Macaca fascicularis: one gene and its partner. The protein of the gene in region 2 interacts with the protein of the main gene of each other region in a pairwise test. Links are inferred from orthologs where the notes say so. Each region holds a gene or a part of one and is shown on either strand. Other genes may lie near its edges. The genes, in order: OAS2 and CLK3.

Region 1 (3,819 bases), on a different chromosome or scaffold from region 2:
ATACAGAGTACTCTCAGATAAGGCTTAGCCTAGGTGTCAGGAAGACCTTCCTGCAGCCTGAAACACCCTGCATTTGGAAAACCCTCTTACCAGAACATTCCAAGATGGTGCAGGTAACTCATTATCCAGGTTGGGAGAAGTCAGCCAGGTTTGAGCTTCTTTTTTCAGCCATTGCCAGCATCTTTTATCTCCACTCACATTATTGGTTGGGTCGGTTGGATCCAAGATTACTGGCCTGTGTATTCCATTAGATTAAAAAAAACGTCAGTTGAGCTGCTTGTGGGAGGCAAAATCTGTTTTGGGGAAAGAGGCCTGGAGTGGGAATCTGGCAACTTGAATTTGGATTCCTGCGGCTCCTCCAAGCTGCTGAGGAATTTTGTCTACAACATCAAGCCCCTCTGGCCCTATGTTTGCTGCTTTACAGAGACATTCTATTAATAAAATAACAAAGTGGTCTCCTCTTCCTGTCCCCCCGCTGCCCTTTCTCTCTTAGCTCCTGCCTTCTATAACAGAAGTGTCTCTCCAGTGTTTGTTTAGGGGACAAAATGTGACTACGGCTTGGAACTTGAAAAGCACTGACTGGACTTCCCCTCTTTCAGACAGACCCCTCTGCCTTCCCACCCATGGTGGCTGCCATTCTTCTGGTCCAGCACTGGCTTGATAGGGCAAGACTGAGATCTCATTCCAAAGAGGTATGCCTGGCATGTGGATGATGAGGTACAGGGATAGGGCATGAGAAGCTCGGCACCTCGCTGATTGGAGCTGGGGCAGCAGGATATTCCTGATGGTCTCATCTTCAAAGCTGTAGTTGACCATCCAATAGACACACAGCTGCTCATGGCATTTGATCAGCTCCAGAATGGTTCTGACGCCTTCAGCAATGTCAAAGTTGTCTCTTCTGCACCCCTGTTCCCAGGCATACACTGTAAGCAACTCCAGGGCATACGGAGACAGCAAGGGTAAATCCTTCATTTTTTTCTCACACTGTGGGAGAAGAAAAGGGTAGCAGCTCATTTGGGGATCCAGTTCTTACCATGTCAGGGATCTGAAATCAAGAAACCAGAGGTCTACAGGAAGTCATTCTCCTTTGCCAGAATACCTACAATTCAGCAGATTGACAATACCAAGTCTTGACAAAGATGTGGAACAACTGGGATGCAGCAGGGACCTCTCTTAGGGGGCTGCAGGCCACCCACTGCTCCCATCCCACAAGCATAAAAATAAAGGACAATCTGGAGTTCTTTCGAGGGAAATTCCAGGCACCCTACTAGCCTTTAAAAGTCAATGAGCAACTTGATAAGCAAAAATATAGTAGTTCAGGGTCTACAGGAGCAGTGAAAAAAAAAAAAAAAACCAATAAAATTAAAACAACAAAAAAGGAAGGTAATAGTCACTTACAACAGTAGCCAAGGAAGCTAGAGTCAGAAGATGTTTTGTTCCCTATAGAAACTAAAGATAACATCTTAAAGTATGTCCCTGTCCCTGAGTTGATTTTCAGAAACTCAGGCCCCCACCAAGCAAATCGACTGGCAGGTAGACCTCAGATAAGGGGAAACTGAGGATTGAACCCTGACCTCATTCTTTATTCTAAATTTCTTCCTGAGGTTCTTGGAGGAGGTCACACCTACGAGCCAGAGCTAACGTTCCTTTCTGCTGATCTGAAATTTTTAGATAAAGCTTCGCCCATTTCACCCATCACAAATCGGAAAGTCTTTGAATCCTGTGACCTGAGCCATCCATCCATCTCCTCCCTCCTGCTTGGAGACGTCCCACCTTTTTAGGTCAAACCAATCTACAGTCTCCATGTGTTGATTTATGGCTTTGCCTGTAACCTCTGTCCCCTCACCTTTAAAACACTTACCTGTAAGCCATCGGAGAGTTTGGCTCTTAAACATGAGCTGCCCGATTCTCCCTGCGTGGCTCCCTGCAATAAATGCCTCACTCTCTCACGGTAATCCCAAAGTCTGTGTTTGGTTTTGCTGTGCTGGGTGGGCAGATCCCCAGTTGGGTTTGATAATATTCCTGAAACTTACATCTTGCTGATGGGAGTATAATTTGGTAAGATTTTGGAAATGATTTGGCAAGATTTGCTATGGTTAAACAAAAAAACAAGTAAACCACATATATATTTTATATATTTACACACATATATGTACACAACATTCATATATGTGTACTGGATAGCCCAGAAATTCTGCTGCTACCTATTTGCCCAAGAGAAAGGAATGCTTACATTCATAAAAAGACATGTAGGAAAATATCCATAGTAACCTAATTCATAATTGCCCAATTTGAAAATGACCCAATCATCTATTTGAAAATTGCCCCAATTTGAAAATGACCCAAAGCAGCAGAATGGATAAATGTGTGTTACATTCATAAAATGGAATATGGCAAAATGTGAAAAAAAGTGCTGCTATGGCTGGGTGCTGTGGCTCATGTCTGTAATCCCAGCACTTTGGGAGGCCAAGGTGGGTAGATAGCTTGAGCCCAGGAGTTCAAGACCAGCCTGGGTAACAAGGCAAAACCTCATCTCTACAAAAAACACAAAAATTAGCCAGGTGTGGTGGTACACTCCTGTAGTTCCAGCTACGTGGGAGGCTGAGATGGGAGGATTGCTTGAGCCCAGGAGACAGAGGTTGCAGTGAGCCAATATCACACCACTGCACTCCAGCCTGGGTAACAGAGCAAGATCCTGCAACCACATAAATGAGTCTCTCAGACGTACTGTTGAGCAAAAGGAGGCAGACATAAAGTATGTACTATATGATCCCACTTCTATTGTTTAAAATCAAGCAAAACTAATCTGTGGTGGTGACAGATGTTAGAATAGGGGTTTGTTTGGGAGGATTACTGGGGAGACAGTTGGCTTGAGGCACCTTCTGTGGTGCAGGAAGTGTTCCCTATGTTGATTTGGGTGTTGCTGGTAAGATTGCAAAACATGCATTGAGTTGTATACCTAAGATTGTTGCACTTTACTGGATGTCAGTTATCTCTATAAAAAGGAAATGAATGATAACCATATATAGACAGTTGGAAAATTACCTGTTGATGCCAGTGCTTTATCAAGAGGATCAAATCCTTTAGTTTTCTGGGACGGTTGTCAAAAAACTTCTGCTGGAGTTCGGTGAAGCAGACTGCAAACTCACCAGGACTGGCACTTGTCTTATCCAAGGATCTTTTGAGCTCTCGATAAATCCAGGGGCTGGGATTATCATTTAAGCCTGATGTGAAAGAGAAATTGGAACTTTGGTATTTATGTAACCTGGTCTCAGAGAGCCAGGGTTGCTCTACAATGAAAGTCAGTTATAGTTTAACAGCACACGATCCTTGTTTAATCAGTCAGAGGACTGGTACCTTTACATAAAATATGATAGGAAAGGGCAACTTGGCGCATTAGATAATAAAGTGTAATCTAAAATGACTATAATGAAAACGGTATGGTGTTAACCCAAGACAAGATCAGCAGAACCTAATGGAGGGATAAGAGATGGAATTATAAATGAGAAAGGGAATTCTCCAAATTAGTAGGGAACAAGTGGGTTCTTTAAAAAATTGTTGGTGTTGGCATAATTAGTATACATCTGGAAGAAAGGAAAGTTTATATTTTACATGCAATATATTCTGTCATTGAGTCCATCTAGTGAATATTTTACTTCAGAGTGTCAGGGTACAGGGACTTTGAGAAGGCAGGCAAGGTGGCAGCAGGGCCGTGGAGATCTGGGGACAGAGGCTGGTTTAATCAATGGGTTTTCATTCTTGCTAGCTGAACTCCACTGTTTATAAACACATTTATTTAGCCAGGCACGGTGGCTCATG
Region 2 (3,299 bases):
GCACTGGGACTGGTCCTTGCCCTCATCCTTAGCCTGGGCCTTCCCCAGAGGTATTAAGTATGATTCCTCCATCTTCAGTTCTTTTCAGGGGCATCCTGCCCATAGTACCTAGTTCCCAAGGGGCCCCCAGTCACGTGGTGAAACCTAGCACTCGTGCAGCTCTTAGGGAACCAAAAACCAGCACTGAAATAAAGCTGAATGACTGAGTCCTGTGGTGTGTGAATTGCTCTGTAGGCTGTCATGAGGTGCTGCCTGTTCCAGCCTAGGAACCCGCCCCACTTGTCTCCTGCCCTCAGCAGACCATAATTGTTGGGCACATACAGCCTAAAGTCCCAGCCAGTAATGGGACTGACAGGCTGCGGAAAATCAGACCCCACCTGGCTAGTCACAGTGGGCTGATTCCGTTACATTCTCTGGGGCTGAGAGGTACAGGAGCCAGCAGGGCAGAGGTGCCGTCTAGGACTGCTCAGCAGCCTGGGCTCAGGACATCCCCACTTCTGGTCTTACCCCTGCCTAGCTCTTCTGTGCCTGGCCCAGTTCACACTTAGCTTTCCACAAGCTGAACTGCTAAGAAAGACTTTATTAATAAGGTCAGGTAAGGGGAAGGCAAGGAGCCTGGAGATGGACACACTGGTACCAGGGGTTACAAACAGTAAGAAACACTTTATTATAACTTTACAACATATAAATAGCTTGGGTCAAATCTGTGCTTTCTGGCAGCTGGGCACCAAGTCTGCTCCCCTGCAGGCTCCTGCCTTCCTTCACATTGCACTGTTCATTGGGTGGCTCTGGCCTGGGGCCTGGTGGTCGAGGCTGGAGTCAAGGGGCTGGGTGGCCCAGTCCCACCCTCCATCTCCTCATGCCGTGGCCTGCGCCTGTCATCTGCTTGGGTTGCGGCTGGTGTGGAAGGACCGCTCCTCAGGGGTCAGGCCAGCAAAGAAGGGGTGCAGCAGGGCCTCGGCCAGTGTGATGCGCTGGGCAGGGTCAAATTCTAACATCCTCCTCATCAGGTCAAACAGCTGCACGTGCTCCAGGGAGTCTTGGAGCATATAACTCTGCTCAGGGACACAAGGTGCCTCAGTGTGACGGCAGGATCGTGGGAAGCCACAGCAGGTCCCCTTGCCTCTGGGACGCCTTGCTGGACTGGATCGAGGAGGCAGTGTTGCCTCCTTGGAGGACTCTACTTCCGCCCTCCTGGACAATGAGCAGCTCCTTTCCTTTCATGCCTGTGTTTAACGTTTGCTCGGAACTTGCCAGGCTACTAGATGTCTTGCTGGATTGATGCCTCTGCCCCCACATGCAAAGTCCTGACAAGTGGGTAGAGATCACCTCTGCGAAATTCACTTGCCCGAGCACCAAATGCAGTTGACACAGACCAAATGCAGTTGGCTTCCTGGCCATGTCTAGGTCTTCCCTCCCCCTCACCTCAGTCCTGCCTAGTCCTTCCCAAAATTTCGCGGAGAGAGAGGGACAGGAAGCAGCAGGGTTTCTGACATCTGGCTCTTCCGGTGTTCCCCAATTACATTCATAGCCACCCTATGGGGAAGGGGTAGGGCCAAGGGCCCCTCTGGGACAGTATGCAAGAAGCCCCACTGCCAACATCCAGCAGTCTTGGGTGCCGCCTCCCATAGAGCTGGATCGAGGAGGCAGCCTTTAGTGGCCTGGCCTGTCTCTGCTGTATGTCTGCCCAGTGCCTGGGGTCTCTCCTTGGCATGAGTTGAGCTGGGGGTAGCCAGAAACTGACCTTCAGAGGTTTGCAGTTCTCCTTCACATACCGGCCATCAGAGCTGTTCTCATCCCAAACTAGGCCCCCTTTGTAGAAATATTTCTGCTTCCTGAAAATTAAGGGGGTGGAGTCAAGTGTGGGAATAGAAAGGGGACAAGCCTCTGGTGGGAGGTGGGGAAGAGCAGCTCCCAAGACAGCAGCAGAACCAGGGCAACAGGTTTGCAGGGGCACACAGGGAAGGTTTTTGGGACCCATGGACTGTCCAACAAAGACTCACCACATCCAGTACCCTGCTGACCCACAGCCAAGAAGAGAAAGGCCCCTATACCAACCCTGAGGGGGCTACTGGGGTCCTTACCTGGTACGGTGGATCATGTGTGATGGGATGGGCCCTAGGATCTTCTCCATCATCACCAGATGCTCTCGGTTTTCGTGGGTCTGTGGAAGATTAGGGACAGTGCAAGGGGGTCAGTCCTAGCTCTGGCCCCTTCAAGGAGAATAAGGAACAAGAAAGATGGGCAAGTGCCCTCACTGCCCCCGCAGATGCAAACCTACCAATGAAGCGGCAGCCCCAGCTTCTCCTGCCAGCCTGTGCTCAGGCTCAGGCTCCTCAGCCCTTGTGGGTGGAGGTAGACTGGGCTGTGGCTGCATTTCCCTCTGGTTAGCTCTTCGCTCCCTGCCCAGAACATGCCCTGTCCCAGCCCATCCTGATGCCTTTATTCATCTGTGCCTTTTATCTAGAAGGTCAGGTCACCTCCTGCCCATCCTCCATCCTCGACGGCCTAGCATAAGACTCCTCTGAGTGTTCTAGCTCCCCTGACTTGTGCACTCCCTTTAGCATCTACATCCTTAAGACTCTGAATCTCACATGATGACTAATGGGAGGAGGAAGACACCTGTCTTCTCATCCAGGTGGGGCTTCCCACCCCAGTGGCCTGCAGCCTATCACAGTAGCAGTGCTCAGGGTAGGGGAGCGATGTGGGGTGGCTGTACCTGGAAGAGTGTGAAGCCCCGGTAGTACTCAAAGAGAATGCAGCCAATGCTCCAGACGTCACAGGGCTGTGCCCAGCCCAGCTCTGAAAGCCAAGATGGGGAGAGGCTGTGAGATCTGGCCCTATGCTTCCAGCCTGGAGGTCACAGGGCAGCCACCACACTGGCTGGCAGGACTCTTGCCCAAATCCCATTACAAGGCCCTCTCAGTAAGGCTGACAGATAAAACCAGGTCAGTCACCTGTGTCTCATGACACTGGCCTCTTGGTCTGAGAAACTCTGCCTGCCCTGGGTGGCAGAGACTGCCAGGCATGCCACTGCCTCTGTTTATACCCTCCCAACAGTCCAGTGTGACGAGGTCACAGGCCATACAGTCACTCACCAAGGATCACCTCAGGTGGGCGATAGTGACGGGTGGCCACAATGGTTGTGTGATGCTCATGGTCAAAGGTGGCACTGCCAAAGTCAGCCACTCGGATGCTGGTGTTCTTCACTGACTTCTCCTCACAGCTCTGAAAAGCAAGGCAGGCCTGCCAGGTCAGGAGTCCACACCAGTGGGTAACCCACCCCTGGAGCAGGGCCT

The links.
Region 1: the proteins of CLK3 (region 2) and OAS2 interact in binary tests that used the Homo sapiens proteins (3 or more experiments, as listed by UniProt). The two-hybrid records come from large-scale screens. The link is inferred for Macaca fascicularis from reciprocal best matches to the Homo sapiens genes CLK3 and OAS2.

The regions. Positions count from the first base shown.
Region 1 is NC_088385.1:119,925,088-119,928,906, reverse strand, and holds part of OAS2 (2'-5'-oligoadenylate synthase 2), read right to left. Parts: intron 3,225-3,819; coding exon 3,046-3,224; intron 985-3,045; coding exon 749-984; intron 236-748; coding exon 91-235; intron 1-90.
Region 2 is NC_088381.1:51,741,284-51,744,582, reverse strand, and holds the end of CLK3 (dual specificity protein kinase CLK3), read right to left. Parts: intron 3,229-3,299; coding exon 3,099-3,228; intron 2,803-3,098; coding exon 2,720-2,802; intron 2,165-2,719; coding exon 2,085-2,164; intron 1,836-2,084; coding exon 1,745-1,835; intron 1,308-1,744; coding exon of another isoform or gene 1,233-1,307; exon of another isoform or gene 1,056-1,232; coding exon 879-1,055; 3' UTR 644-878; downstream 1-643. UniProt on the Homo sapiens protein: Dual specificity kinase acting on both serine/threonine and tyrosine-containing substrates. Phosphorylates serine- and arginine-rich (SR) proteins of the spliceosomal complex.